Callithrix jacchus: one gene and its partners. The protein of the gene in region 3 purifies or fractionates together with the protein of the main gene of each other region. This does not show direct contact. Links are inferred from orthologs where the notes say so. Each region holds a gene or a part of one and is shown on either strand. Other genes may lie near its edges.

Region 1 (3,690 bases), about 13 Mb from region 3:
ATGGATCTTTTAAAATGTCCAGGTGACTCAAACATGCAGTCACGTTTTGCTTTTGTTTTTCCGTAGAGAAGGGCTCTCACTTTGCAGCTCAGGCAGGACTTGAACTCCCGGCTTCAAGCAATCCCCCTGTCTTGGCTTGCCAAAAACTTAGGGTGACAGGCATGAGCCACTGCAGCACACATGCAGTTACCTTTGAATCACCTGTAGCTCTCATCCAGATGCAAAGTCTTCCTCCCCGGGTCTACAACTGGGTCTACAATTTTGCGTTTCTAACAGATGCCCAGGCTTCTGGTTCTCAGAAAGTGCTGAGACACAGCAAGTTCCTGCCATCAGAGGGAGAAGGCAGCTGCCATCTAGAGGGACGGGTGCTGAGCCCCTACCAGGGCTCCAGTCAGAATCTGTCCTCAGAGGTAGGCAGCTGCCATCTACATTTTTTTTTTTTTTTGAGACAAGTCTCACTCTGTCATCAGGCTGGAGCGCAGTGGCGTGATCTTAGCTCACTGAAACCTCCGCCTCCCGGGTTCAATAGTTCTCCCGCCTCAGCTTCCCAAGTAGCTGGGACTACAGGTGCTTGCCACCACAGCCAGCTAATTTTTGTATTTTTAGTAGAGACGGGGTTTCACCATGTTGGCCTGGCTGGTCCGCCCCGGTCAGACTCCCAAAGTGCTGGGATTAGAGGCATGAGCCACCCCGCCTGGCCAGCAGCTGCCATCTACAGGGACGGGTGCTGAGCCCCCGCCAGGGCAGCAGTGCGAGTCTGCGAGCCTTCTTCACGGGTGTGTGACCCGGACATGGCCTCCCTGACCCTCCACCTCACTTCTAATAAGTAGGTCTGCCTGCTTTTCTCTTATTCCTCTTCTCCCGTTTCTGTGGTCTGAATGTTTGTGTGCCCCAAATCCATATGCTGAAACCCCAACCCTCAACGTGACGTATGAGGAGCTGGGGCCTTTGAGATGTGATGAAGTTATGAGGGTGGAGCCCTCGCGGTGGGATCGCTGCCCTGACAAAAGGGACCCCAGAGAGCTGCCTCACCCTCCACCTGTGAGGACGCAGCAAGAAAGTGCCATCTGCGGCCGCCCCTCAGTGTCCCTCCCCTCTCCCCTGTGGGGCTGCCTTCTAGAGGGACGGGTGCTGAGCCTCCTACCCTGCTTCCTCACCGGTGTGTGATGTTGATGAGGTCTCACCAAACACATCTGCCGGTGCTCGTCCACGGGCCTCCCGCCTCCAGAACTGTACGGTGATCATTGCTTTTTTTTGTGAGCCAAGCAGTCTACAGCATTTGGCTATGGCAGCCTGACAGATGGAGACATCTGTCTTCTTCCAGTCACTCGGAACTGCTGGCCCTGCTTTCCCACGCCTGCCCCCTCTGAATACTCTGTACCCCCAGCCTGGGCTGCCCCTGGCCTTCTCTCACTCTGTCACTCCGCCCATCCTCTGGAAGCTGGCGGAGGGGGACACCCACGCCGCAGAAGTGAACAGGTTCATCCCCTTGTGCTTTGGGTACTCTGCAAGTTCCTTGTCAGAGCCCGTGACACACACGCGCATGCACCCACACATACACGCACACGCGCGCATGAACACACACGCACACGTGCACACATACACGTGCACGCACGTGCACACGTGCGCAAACACACGCACGCAAACACGTGCACATGCACACACATACATGTGCACACATGCGCACACGCACACACACCCACACCTGTTTCCTGACTGTCCCATGACGGACCTCAAGCCCTATGAAAGGGACCTGGGTCTCAGCCTCCACTGCAGCCCTGCGAGCAGTTGGTCCTTCTGGGCCAAATGAGGACCAGGAAGGTGTCCTGGCCGGGCAGAGTCAGGGCTAGAGGAAGCTGAAGCTCACCGCTGCCAGTGGAAGGGCCTAGCCTCCTGTTTGTCTTCTCTACGGATTAAACTCACATCACAGGGTGCCCGCCTTCCTACAACCACTGTCCTTCTTAGGAGCCACTGAACAAGAAACCCAGAAGGGACACAGAAGTCAGTTGACTCAACTGCTTCACTGCACAGACTCGGCAACTGGCTTCCAACCGCCCAGCAAGTCATGAGCACACCCTAGAGCAGACACTTCTGGCGACAGCCCAGGGCAAAGCAACATGGGGGCCTGGAAGGAGCGTTTCAGCTTTTCTGCTCTGTTTCCCTTGATTCATCGCTATCGTATTTTTCCCAAGGAAACCGAGTCTCTCTCCACTGCCACCTGCACATGCTTCTCAGACTGCATTCCCGACTTGCTTGTGTGGGTCTTCAATGCCTGGATCCCTTTACTTTCTTCTCCCCGCACACATGTCCCAGCATCCCTTAAAGCCAAGTTTAAATTGCGCTTTTCTAAGAAACCTCCCCCAGCCTCCAGCTCTAAGGGCCTTCTGTCCCCTGGGCTCCTGGGACGGAGTCTGGCATTGCCCTGCCCCAGAGACATTGACTGACCATGAGGCACTAGCGCTCCAAATAGCTGACGAGCAGTTTCTTTTGGCAAGCCTTTGTAGGCAGTCCTCCAACCTCCCTCATCCCTTGTGCTAAACTAGCATTCCCAAAACATTTGTTCCTTATTTCATTGTTTCTTTGCTCACCCCATTTATCCACCTACCACAAGTCAACCTTTGCCCATGAAGGGGTGTGAAATGGGTGGTGGCGGCATCATTACACAGCTGTGGCAACTAAATTTGGAAGATAGATGAAAAGACACCAGAGGAGGCAGGTGCCAAGCAAAAGCTGGAGAGGGGGCAGAGGGCACGCTCTGCCGCCTGCTGGAGCCGAGCCTGCTTACCCGAGGGAACAGGCAGTGAGAGAGCCTGGGGGTACACACTGGGCCACGTCGAGGTGTCGGCCTTCCTTCTCCTCTTCCTCCTCCTCCTTGGGCATGTTGTGGAGAAACCCCAGGGAAAGGGACTCCACCCGATGACAGTTCTCAATGCAAAAGGAAGAAACCACGTGGTCCATTCTGGTGGAGAGATTGATCTCAATCTTGGGGAAATGGTCCATGGCCCTCTGCACAAAGTCCTCCTCCTGCATCTCGTACAAACAGTAGAACAATTCCAGCTGGCTGGGCTGGATCTGCAGCTTCTTTGCCTTGGCCTTCACCTCAATCCATTTCAGCAGCTCCAGCCTGATCTGCTGAGAGACCTTGCAACTTAATTTCTTCTCCAAGTAGGAGGTCCTCTCCTGGTTCACCAGGCCGAAGAGGAAACGCACAACGAAAATCAAATACCCCTTCTCGAATTTGCCGTAGTTTTCCAGAAGGACTGTCACGTCCCGGCTGGGAAGCGTCAAGCAACTCCCTGGAACATTCTGCATCCCTCCTTCCTTTTCCTCTTCCAGCAGGTAGTACATGGCAGCAAAGAACTCCTGGAAGGTCATGTGGATGAAGCTGTAGAGCTTCTCGCAGTCCACTTCCTTTTGGAACAGGTTCATCCTCAGGAAAGCAGACACCTCCGCCTTCTGCAGGCCGTGATTCCTGAGGTCAGACTCCTCAAAGAGGATTTTCTGGTTCCAGATCCCATCTGCAGCCAAAGAGCAGAGCCCCCAGAGGTGGGCAGAGAGGGTATGCTCCTGGCTCCCTCCTCGGGGCTGCAGCAAACTGGAGAGGAAGAAGATGTACACCGCAGTGGTAGTCTTGGATGTCTGGGCCAGGCTCTTGCCACTCTCCATCTGCTGCTTCAGGCCGGTGCACAC
Region 2 (3,690 bases), on a different chromosome or scaffold from region 3:
TGGGCTCTGGCCAGGCCCTCGCTGCTGCTGCTGCTCCTGACAGGCCCCAGGTTGGCACAGAAAGCATGTCCCTCTGAGGGCGGGAAGACAGGGTGTCCGCCTGCAGGATTCACCAAGGTACTGTGCATGGGCTGCCCTGGGTCCAGGGCATTCCTTGGCGCCTGCAGCGGTTGATTCCTTTTGTTTCAGGCTGCCTGCCTGTGCTAAACCCTCCCCTCTATACACACTGGCAGGGCTTCTGTCTTTTTGTTCACTGCTAATCTCAAGCACCCGGAGCAATGCTTGGCCCAAGGTGGGCACTCTGTTAACAGCTGCTGCACAGAGCTGTGATTCTAACAGATATTCCTAGTGGAGTGTGTCCTGAAAGCCTCGGTGGGCTCCCAAGCAAGGGCTCAACCTGTTGGTGTGGAATGGCTCCCCTAAGCTGCACGGGGCTGCTGGACCAGAAGCTTCTCCCTTTCCTCACAAGAACCAGGGCCATCCACATCTGGCCCTTTCTTGTCCTCTGCTGGATGGCTATGCCCCAGCGCCAGGCCAGGGGTAAGATGGGCACACAAGAGCTCCAGGACCTGCCTGAGCCGCAGGCTGAACAGGGTGGGGCACACGTACCCCGACTGCTGCTGCTGCTGCTGCTTTCTATGTCCTGCTCGTTGATGGGGGAGGTGACATCCCGGCAGCAGAGGCCCTCTTCTTCCAGGGGGTTCTCACCACTGCTGTTGAAGGTGACATAGCCGCGGAGAGGCACCTGCTCTGTGTACAGAATGGGGGCCATAAACCCAGGGAACTCCAAAGTGAAGTTGCTTCTGGTTCCAGATGCCCCTACATTTCCCAGACTGGTCTCAAAACTCCTGGGCCCAAGCAGTCCTCCTGCCTCAGCCTCCCAAAGTGCTGGGATTACAGGCATGAACCACTGTACCTGGCCCCCAATTTTTTTTTGAGACAGAGTCTCCCGCTGTTGCCAGGCTGGAGTACAGTAACAAGATCTCAGCTCACTGCAACCTCCACCTCCCGGGTTCAAATGGTTCTTCAGCCTCAGCCTCCTGTGTAGCTGGGATTACAGGCACGCGCCACCACGCCCAACTAAGTTTTGTATTTTATAGTAGAGACGGAGTCTCACCGTGTTGGCCAGGATGGTCTCAATCTCTTGACCTTGTGATTCACCCACCTCGGCCTCCCAAAGTGCTGGGATTACAGGCCTGAGCCACTGTGCCCATCCCCCAATTTTTTAAAATTACTGGCAAAGAGAATATATGCACTTATGGAAAATTTAAATTTCATAAGGTATGAGAGGAAAAAACAAAAATCCCCTGAAATGCCACACCTGAGACCACTACCATCATCACTGCTCTGTGGATACCTAAAAACTGCCCACAAACAGCTTCAGACATGTATCGTTTTGATAAAGCATCTGTCATATGGCCATATAGATTAATTACCACCCCAGCCCCAGGATCAAACCCCTCCTTCCTCCCCCCACCACACCTCAGGCTGCAGCAGGTGCCTGAGATCCTTAAGAAAGAGACTGCTGCTCAGAATGACCAGCCCAGTGTCCCAGAGCCAGTGCTCACAGCTCAGTGGCTGGAACACAGGTGGGCCCTCTTGCTGTGGTGGGAGGTGGCCAGCAACTGGAGAGAGGCCTTCCCAGTGACCCAGTTAACCGCCCCTCCCAGGACAATGGGAGAAGGTGGGTCCCCAGTTCCCAACCCAGCACCCAGGCTTGGGAAGACAGAAGTCTGCACCTCTGCTTCTTCTTGGAGTCTTAGAAGGGAATCCAGTAATTCATGTACCCTTGGCTAAAACTATTCTCACTAGGAAAGTCAGACTATTCCAAGTACTGGCCTCAAAGAGGCCTTGCTCCTGTGAGGGACCAGCCACCAGGCCTGTGAGACCAGCACCCTTGGCCTGGCCATGGGTGGGTGACAGCCATCAAAAGAAGACACAACTCAAAGCTGAGTCTGAGCTCAGCAAGAGAGAGTGGGTACCAAATCCAACTCAGCTAAAAACAACCCCCAGCACTCCCAAGAGCAAAATGCTCAGCACTGGGGCTGACAACCTGAGAATAAACTTGAGATCTGAAAACCTGACGGCTAGGATTCTTTACCACCAAGTGCACCCTCTCTCAGGAGGGTCTGAGCTCAGCTCCATTGCCCTGAGAAAACAGCTGGGCCTGTCTGCCCTTAGCCTCCTAACCCTGAGAGCGTACGCGACCCAGCTGGTATGGGTAAGGCAGGGAAGTGGATCGTCACACTGCATCCTCCCTGTATGAGCCGACCCACCTATGCGATTAATGAAATCTGACCTGAGCTACATTTCTGCTGCAGGACAGAGAGATTTATTCCTAAATTTAACCAATGAAAAGGAAAGTCAAGGAGGTCAAGCAAAAAAAACCAGAATGAGCTCATGACCAATGCATTTCCATCACTGGACTCAATCCTGATTCTCCCTGAGCATGAAAGCCTGGGCCACTTGTCCTGCTACCGCCTGAGGTCCAGGGACCCATGTTTCAGGAGCCTAAGAGCTATTCCATTCTTGCCAACACAGAATCTTGGTATGCAGTAACAGAGAGACGCGGGTCACTCACCATAGCGACACCGTGGGGCCCTGCCCCCGAGGCCAATGCCTGTGATCCTGGCCAGCGCTCTTGGCCCCTCGTGGATGCTGACACCCTTCTTCCGGCACGGCCTCTGTCTCTGAGGAGCAGGGCAGGACTCATCAGAAGAACTCAGATCTTCGTATTTTTCTGTAGGTCCAACACCAAGATTAAGACAGTCTGTTCAGTGATGGACTAATTTACTAATGCTTAGATTAAACTGAAAGAAAGTAACTATCACAGGTTTTGTTAAATTAAGGAGAGGGTATCTGCCAGGACATCACTTTTGGGAAATGCCCACATAGGCCGGGGTGCTGCTCCAGTGGGCCACAGGGAGCTGCAAAGTTAGTGAGAACGGGGAGCTTAACTTTTTTTCTTGAGACAGTTTCATTCTGTCCTCCAGGATGAAGTGCAGTGGTGCGATCTCAGCTCACTGCAACCTCCGCCTCCTGGGTTCAAACAATTCTCATGCCTCAGCCTCCCAAGTAGCTGGGATTACAGGTGCACGCCACCATGCCCAGCTAATTTTTCTCCCTGTCTTTTTTTTTAGTAGAGATGGGCTTTTGCCATGTTGGCCAGGCTGGTCTCAAACTCCTACCTCAGGTGATCTGCCCCCCCCCCCCCCCCCCCCCCCGCCCCGGGCCTCCCAAAGTACCGGGATTACAGGCTTAAGCCACCGAGTCCGGTGAGGAGTTTCATTCTTACCTCTTTGTCAGGGTTTGCAAATTCATAAAAAGCCTGTATTGTTCACAATCAGAAGTAAGTTTTGACCTAAGTTGAAGGAATAACTAAAATTCATTTCTTCATTTAAAATATGATATCAGTCACAACTTTTTTTTCCAGTTCCCTTCCTTTGGAAACAACTTCTTAAGGAATTCTGTATTTTCTAAAGCATAGCATCTGTTTGCTATGATTTTTAACTCTTTCACATCACTACCTAGTCTGACCTTTCAGAGCTGAACCCAGAGCTTTTACTATTTTGTAGCTTTTCAGTTTTTCATATTTGATTCATATAAGGCTCTGGTCCAATTCTACTTTTAAGAGATAGGAGACCGGGTGCGGTAGCTCACGCCTGTAATCCCAGCACTTTGGGAGGCCAA
Region 3 (4,234 bases):
GGGACGGAGATTGGCTGTCTCACCCAGGCTGGAGTGAAGTGGCGCAATCTCTGCTCACTGCAACCTCTGTCCCCTGGGTTCAAGCAATTCTCCTATCTCAGCCTCCCCAGTAGCTGGGATTATACGCTCCTGCCACCCCGCGCGGCTAGTTTTTGTATTTTTAGTAGAGACAGCGTTTTGCCATGTTGGCCAGCTGGTCTCAAACTCCTAACCTCAGGTGATCCACCCCTCCCCCCACTTCGGCCTCCCAAAGTGCTAGGATTACAGCTGTGAGCCACCGCGCCCAGCCGTTTTAATTTCTAAAAATAGACTTTCCGGATCTTAATTTCATGGCTTTAACATTTTAAATGAGCTATAATCTCATTGTTGGCTCGAATCGTTTTGGCAGGAAAGTTAAACTACTGAGAGACCTATGAAAAACAGCAATAATTTAATGAGCACGTCTAATATGCCAAGCTTTGGGCTTAAGCACTTTGTTTTATCTCACTTAATTCCAACTATGGTCCTAGACGTTGGTAGTGTGACTATTCTCCCTTTACAGAGTTACTGAGACTTGGAGAGGTTAAGTAACTTGCAGTCAGGTCACAAAATTAACCACGGAGCTGAGATGAGAATTTAGATATGACCGACTCCCCACTGCCTCCTAGCAGTCTCCTCGAGTAGTTCATGTCCTGTTACCGAAGTAGTGAAGCTGCTGGTGTCAAAACATTCCTTCTGCAGTTTCAGTTTCCTGTACTAGGGTTCTGGGTGATTTTGCACATATTTATTTCAAAGATCCTCGGTACCACACCAGGTAGTTTACCTTTCGGAATGTAAAAGCCACTGTCCTCTATGCTGGGACACTTTCACGCAACGCTGGCTTAGTCAGACTCAGGAAAACGCCTTGTTTCTCATTTCCCTGCACTCCACATTAAACGCAGAGGTAGTTTACACCACCTGGTAAAAGAGGACTGGATGACAAACGCTGTGGTCCAGAAGAAAGGGCACGTCACCAAGTCGGTTCACCGCTTGCTAGCGGGGACGCTTACATATAAACGAAGAGAAAACAAGTTCTTAAAAAGCAGCCGACCCCGGGTTTGGTGGGAAGCTGGCCTGAAGCTGGGAAGAGGGCTCAGAGGACCGGACGCCGTGCCCCGCACCCCGCTAGCCCTGACAGCGGCAAGAGACCGGCCAGGAGGAGTTCTTCCAGAGCGGCCTCGGCTCTAGTAGGCAAGCCGCCGAGGCTCTCCCAACTGCCGGGCTCGCGGGAGGACGCAGACGGGAAGCCTCCGCCGGACAGCCGGCCGGGACCCCGCGGAGCGGGGAGTGGCCGGCGCCCGCCCCGCCCCTCTCCTCGGGGATGCCGGGATGTTTACACTCCAGACAGCCGCGGCCGCAGGAGGAGGAGCAGGAGCCGCGGGAGGATGGGCCGCCACTAGGCTCGCACTCGGGACGCGCCTCGGAGTGCGCAGGGTGGGTGCCCGCGCCTGCAGTGTCCGCGGGGACGGCGCGGCAGGAGGTGGCTGATAGCTTCCGGGCCTCGCAGCCACAGCTCCCGGCCCAGCGCGGTTTCCGACGGCGGCGCCGGGCCGAGCCACCCCGTCTGCCCAAGGTCCCTCGCGAGCGGGAGAACGGAAAACTCCTAACTTCCTGGTGAGTCGCTGCTCAGGGCTCAGGCGCCCGGCCTGGGTAGCTCCTGCCGGGTGGGGCGGCCTGCGGGAGTCGGGCCGGGGGAGTGGGAGGTCGGCACCGCGCGGGGCGGCCTCCGGGATCCCCTTGCTCGGGGTAGGTGGGGCGGGGCGCGCCGCGCTTCAGTCGTCCGGGGTTTTCGGTCCTATTCGTCCGCATTGGTGGGAGGCGGCGGCGGCGGGAAACTTCATACCTGGCACCGACTCTGGCGGGCCGAGGCCGCCAAGGGCGCCGCGGTAACTAAGAAACTCCGCGGCCAGCGCCGCGGCGGCTGCAACAGGTCTTTGGTTTCTGGACCGGAGGAACTTAAGCGAAGTCCCGCCTCCCGGCGGATGCTCATTGGCGACGTCGGTTATTTATCCCTCGCGGATTGGCGAGGTCCGTCTGTCAGGATTCGGTCGCAGCCCGACCTAGGAAAGTGAAGTGCGCTGGAGAGAGTGGGTGGTGGGAGCCAGCAGACGGGAGATTCCGAAGTGGCCTGAGAAGTACAGGGAGCGTGAGAGGTCTGTTGGAGAATGAACTTGGGAGGGGCTGGAGATGACAAAATGTCGGCCAGAGGGATCGAGAGGCAATAGCGAACATTGCCGGTGATGGTGGCAGTGGAAAAGAAATTGAAAACTGAGGCCACAGTCAGAGAAGGGGAGCCAGATGAAGACGGAGAAAAGTGACATGACCGTATGACCGCAGAACAGTGCAAAGACGCGAACACAACCTAGAGGATGCTACCTTGAGAGCTAAAGAACTTCCTTGCCTCCTTTGCGCTGTAGGCCTTCACTCTTAAAACCGCAGCATCCGCTATTTAGTCTTGCACTTGGAGCGTAGTGGGGTGGTAGAGATGATGCATCAACCAATGAATCGTGTTCTCGCATAGCTGTAGTCCTCATTGGGGAGAAATACTAAAAATATACTTAGTTTACAGTAAGATACATGCTGCCATCCTTGCGCAATTCTGGTGACTGAACTGAAAATCTGAAATAAAATTATTTTTTCTCCTTTGAGGTTACTGAGCTCAAGGATGCGGTTGAAAACATCAAATTTCCGTTGTTTGTAGGGCCTTATGTACCTATCATAATTGGAACTACTATTTTTAATTCCTCCTCCAAGGAATTACAGTTTCAGGAGTATGCACACTCCCTCCAAGCGACAGCAGTATGTCTGGTCAGGTTGCATTAGAGAATAAAGTACAGAGCATGTGTGTTATAAATATGTTCTGTTAAGGACCTTGAGGTGCTGCTGATGTGGTCGAAGAATGACACAGTACTTGCACTAAAAAACTACAGTATGCTTAGGACAATCGGTCAAACCTTGCAAATGGCGAACAGTTAAACGACACATACAATTAACCCATGCTTTGTGGCAAGTCTTGTTCAATGGCCGCTATTTTTGATTTGTAACACGTGGCGATGGCCAAGTGCTCTTGAAACAGTTAACTTAAAATCTCAGCAGTTATTTCCAGAGAAAGTAAGCCTGTCTCCCTTGGCGAGATCCAGTCCACAGCTCGCTTCCCTCCTAAAACCGCGGCATCCTCTGTTGGGTCTTGCACCGGGAGTTTGCTGGGGTAGGGGGAGAGGTGTTGGAGCTTTGAAAACGCTTTGCCCCTCGGAGGAGTCAAAGGGGCAGAAACTGCATGGGGTGAGAGGAAGGCCTGAGAAATAAAGGCAGAGGAACCCTTTGAGGAGGCTAGTTGCCTTCTCGGGGCCGGTGTGTGTGCGTGTGCCTGGCTAGTGTTAAGGGTGAGGAAGGAGCCCGGGAGCCTGCGGTACCCTCCCGGAGGTGCGGGCCTGAGATTCCGCTGGGTGGCGAGAGTCTCCGCCCTCCGGAGCACTGACGGCCTTCGCAGCCAATGGGCGGCGAGGACATCGCGTTTGAGAGGGCGGGTACTTCCTACTCCGGCCCTGGGCTCGTAGAAGGACGCGCAAGTTGTTTCTCCAGGGATGTCTGCAGGAGGGATGCCAGGCTGAGGTCCGGCGTCGAGAAATAAATAAATAAAAGGTAGCGGGCTTCGGTTTCCCCTGAGCCGTCCTAGGTGTCCTGTTTCGTGATTCAGCTGTACCTCGAACTTAACTACTTCTACTGAAAGTTTATAGTAGATAAGTGAAATTGGTCAGCAAACTGAATGTAGTCCATGTGACTGACGGGGGTTTACTCTGAAATTATAAGAAAATGAAAACCAAGAAATGTCAGAATCTAGATCGTTAGCTGTTTTACAACTTTTGGGGAATCTTTCCATGGTTAAAACTCTTACCAATTTAACAAGACTATTTTCAAGCATACAGGCTCATTTTATAACCTGAACTATTTGGGTTTATTTATTTAGCTAATACATGTAGCACCCAGCATTCCTTTCCCCCTTCCATATTTTCCTGGCTAGACAATTTCAAGAGTTCATTTTCGTCCCAGTAAAACAGCACTTACCCCAAGAATGGGAAAAGCATGTCTGGTATAATAGCAGCGTCCTAGCGGAGGAGGGGAGATTTGATGCCCCCGTAACTAACGTACCTGATTAATAAGCAAAAAACCAGCATTGTATTGTAATGACCAGTGCAGTTACAGTTTGTGTAAATAA
Region 4 (3,690 bases), on a different chromosome or scaffold from region 3:
TATTTTATCATCTGTCATTATCAATAGCACAGTCTGCACCCTACCTGAGGCTCTTCCCAGGGATTCCCCCAGGGCCACTGTACTCCCTCAGCTCCCGCATGTCTGCTACAGCCTCGCCTTCTCAAGGTTGCCCAACCACTCCATTTCACAGAGCAGACTGCATTGTCCCAGCTCTGCCACAGCCAACCTCTTTACATTGCCCTTGTTGTTTTTTTTAAGCCTATGGCACTTACCACCTATCCTACTATATATTTAATATGTTTATTTCCTCTTTACTGCCTGTCTCCCCTTATGGAGGCCATAGTACTCAGTGGCAGGGATTTGGGTCTCATTTGTTCATTGATGTATCCAAAGTGCTTAGAAAGGTGCTTGGTACATAGCAGGCCTCAGTACATCTTTGGAAAGTATCAGAATGAATGTATGATCAATCAAAACATGGCAGCTTCCATTTACTGGATGTTGTCTATGTGCTAGGGCACTATGACAAAAATTTTATAGGCATGATCTTACTATTCCTCACAAAACCTCCCAAGAAAAGTGACTTTATTATGACTGTTTTACAAAAAAAGGCATTGAAGTCCTGCAGGGCCAATTATACATGACCAAGACCACTTTGGTACAGAGAGGGAGAACTGAGCCTCAGACTGGGTCTGCTTGACGGGAACATGACCCAATCCTGCTGGAAGACCCAAGGTTTGCTCCCATCAAATATGCCAACAACAGTATGGAGTAATGCCATTTGTGATGTGCTCCCTCAGGGCCAGGAAGGATCTCACATGATGCCCCACAGCAGTCCTGAGGTGGTGTCAGTCCTACCACCCATTTGTGGAAAAGGAAAGGGGAGCTTGCTGAACTCAGACAATCAGTTCAAGGTCCCTTGGCCAGCAGTGGCACAGCCAAGGTTGAACCAAGTAGATGGTGACCTTGGCCACATCCACCAATGTGTCTGAGCCTTTGTATCTTGGGGAAATGAGGACATCACCATCCCACAATGCAAGACAATCCTAAAATGAGGCCTGTCAGAAGCAGCCCGAGGGCACTCCATGAAGATTCAAGATGCAGAGGCTGAGGAAACCTGGGAAGGAGAACACACACACAGCAGACGAGGCACAGCTCGGTAGGCACAGGCGGGTGCAAGTTAAGGAGTGCCCACTTCTAAGCCTGAGTTCCCTCTGCTGCAAAATGGGAGAACACCCTCCTCAGAGGGTCCCTGTGAAGGTGAGGGGAGATTCAGCACAGCAGGTACGCTGGGCACGGCAGGGCCTGGGAAAGACAGATCCCTTCCCCACCCCCGCCACAAATAACCCAAATCTTTAAAGAGCAATGGCCTTATGTCAGAAAAAAACAAAACAAAACAAAAACCCTGTCCTGGAAGACTGGGTCCCTAATTTCTAATTGCAAGCCTTTATGAGGCCCTAACACTCTACCAGGCTGAGTGTCTCACACGTCAAAGGTGAACCGGATAACCAGCCTTCTGCTCACCACCACCTGCAGTAGTTGCTGTCATTGTGTCCATTTCACAGATGAAGCAAAAGCTTAGGAGAGGCATGTGAAAAATCAGCTTCTAGAGCCCCTGCAGGAGCTGCAGGTGGGCAAAGTCACCTCAAGGTGCTCTTCCCATGGAATCCTCACCTTCTGAGAGTCACTCACTTAGCTTCCAATGGGTGTGTGACTTTTGACCAGCTTTCCTCCCTCTCTGGGCCTCAGTTTCCCACCTGGACAAAGTAAGAGGTCTCTTGGCTTCAGATAGGTCTTCCTAACCTTCACTACTTTTTGCTTTTCATTTGAGTGTCCTCTTCATTATTGCCACCTCTCTGTCATTACAGACTTTTAAAATATATTTATTTCAGACTTGTTCTGATTGAATGGTATATTTATTTATTTTTTTTGGATGGTATATTTCTAATAAGCACTTACCAAATTTTCAGCATCTCTTGATTGATGGGGCTATTGTATATTCTTTCAATGGTAACAAACTTAACACTTTCAAGTCTTTTTAGCCAATGTACCTGAAGATAACTTTCTTCAGTTTTTTACCTCTCATTTCTAGATGCTTATATACACTGCTGCCCACCTGCTGTTATGCCCTGGGATCTTACTGCAAATGGTGCATTAGAGGTTTTGAAACGCGGTATGTCATGTGGCAGATTTGCTCAGGATTGTTCAGACAACTTTTTACATGCCAGGGAGATGGCAAGAAGGAAAAAAAAAATGCACAGCTAGATCTTTTTTAAAAAACTAATTTTCACCAATTTTACATGAATTAGTGTTTGGGGAATGGTCAGGGCAGAGGACGTCAGGCACACTATTGTAGAGCAAGGGCTGGCAAACTATAGCCCATGGCTCAAATATGCCCCACTGCCTGTTTTTGTAATAATTTATTGGAACCTAGCCAAACCCAACTCATTTACATATTGCAAGTATAGCCACATCTACTCATTTACTCATTACTTACGTAAGGCTGCTTTCACACTAGCAGAATTGACCACTGTAGTTTTAACAGAGACTGTATGGCCCATATAGCCTATTTGGCCTTCTACAGAAAAAGTTTGCCAAACCTTGTTCAGGGACCCCAGAACCACCTGCATCAGAATGATGTGGTTGGGGAGAATGGCCTTGCTATAGAAGCTTCCAGGCTCTTGCTCAAGGTTACTAAAATCAGACTCTCCAGAGACTGGGCTGGAACCTGCATGTCACAGGCAATCTCCTCCATACTTAAGCACATCACTTCCTCAGTCTCACTAGTCTACAGGGCTGGACTCTGATTTCTGTGTGTACTTCCAGTAGAGCAATCCTCAGCGTAAGCCACATAAGCACAATTTGGGGTCCTCTGTAAAGTCCCAGGGGGCATGCAGCCTGACCTGTTTTGGGCCTTACGGTGGTCAGCGGGTCCAGGTAGTCTACAAGGTCCCTGTGCTTGCAGTCCAGCGCAACCTCGAAGGCAGTCTTCTCCAGCACACTGAGGTGGTCAGGGTTGGCGCCCTTCTCCACCAGCTGCTGGGCCACTCCAAGTCGCCCAGTGAGTGCAGCCAGCATCAGCGGGCTCCAGCTCACCGTCCGGGCTGCGTGGTTGGGGTCTGCGCCCCACTCCATCAGTAGACGCACCACAGCCTCATGCCCATGCTGGATGGCGGCCATCAGGGCTGTGATGTCCAGGGGCTCATCCCTGATGCTGCCCAACCCCGGCTGCTCGCCTGAGGGGTGGTGATGGTCCACAAAGGCACCAGCTTCCAGGAGCAGCTTCACCACACCCAGGTGGCCACCCCGAGAGGCCACAGTGAGCACACTGGCCCCGAGCCGGTTCTGGGCATTGACATCAGCTCCATGATCCAACAGGAGGTGTGCCACACTCACATGCCCGAATCTGCCAGGAAGATGGAGAATGAGTGACACTAAACGCAGAGCAATCAGGAGACAGCTTATGTAGTCCCTATTTGTCATGAAGTATTAGTCCTGACAGCTTCTCATAATAAGAGGTCTTATTCTTGTGCCAGGCACTGTTCCAGCCCCACAGATGCAGGTGTACCATCATTAAGGTGAGCAGCTGCCCTGCCTGGGTTCAAAGCCAGCTCTCCCCACCACTAGCTATATGACCTTCAGGAAGAACTTAAGTTTCTCTGTGCCTTCATTTCCTGATCTGTAAAATGGGGCTATAACTGTACCTACTTCAAGGGTTGCTGGGGATTAAAT

What was found.
Region 1: the proteins of NEK7 (region 3) and NLRP3 purify together in Homo sapiens (affinity purification with western blotting; 9 studies listed by BioGRID and IntAct, with this or other methods). This does not show direct contact. The link is inferred for Callithrix jacchus from reciprocal best matches to the Homo sapiens genes NEK7 and NLRP3.
Region 2: the proteins of NEK7 (region 3) and ANKS3 purify together in Homo sapiens (affinity purification with mass spectrometry; 3 studies listed by BioGRID and IntAct, with this or other methods). This does not show direct contact. The link is inferred for Callithrix jacchus from reciprocal best matches to the Homo sapiens genes NEK7 and ANKS3.
Region 4: the proteins of NEK7 (region 3) and ANKS6 purify together in Homo sapiens (affinity purification with mass spectrometry; 3 studies listed by BioGRID and IntAct, with this or other methods). This does not show direct contact. The link is inferred for Callithrix jacchus from reciprocal best matches to the Homo sapiens genes NEK7 and ANKS6.

What each region holds. Positions count from the first base shown.
Region 1 is NC_133520.1:38,247,517-38,251,206, forward strand, and holds part of NLRP3 (NACHT, LRR and PYD domains-containing protein 3), read right to left. Parts: coding exon 2,786-3,690; intron 1-2,785. UniProt on the Homo sapiens protein: Sensor component of the NLRP3 inflammasome, which mediates inflammasome activation in response to defects in membrane integrity, leading to secretion of inflammatory cytokines IL1B and IL18 and pyroptosis.
Region 2 is NC_133513.1:6,823,739-6,827,428, forward strand, and holds part of ANKS3 (ankyrin repeat and SAM domain-containing protein 3), read right to left. Parts: intron 2,741-3,690; coding exon 2,582-2,740; intron 751-2,581; coding exon 610-750; intron 101-609; coding exon 1-100. UniProt on the Homo sapiens protein: May be involved in vasopressin signaling in the kidney.
Region 3 is NC_133520.1:25,077,968-25,082,201, forward strand, and holds the start of NEK7 (serine/threonine-protein kinase Nek7), read left to right. Parts: upstream 1-1,360; 5' UTR 1,361-1,632; intron 1,633-3,559; exon of another isoform or gene 3,560-3,660; intron 3,661-4,234. UniProt on the Homo sapiens protein: Protein kinase which plays an important role in mitotic cell cycle progression. Required for microtubule nucleation activity of the centrosome, robust mitotic spindle formation and cytokinesis.
Region 4 is NC_133502.1:146,909,141-146,912,830, forward strand, and holds part of ANKS6 (ankyrin repeat and SAM domain-containing protein 6), read right to left. Parts: intron 3,365-3,690; coding exon 2,862-3,364; intron 1-2,861.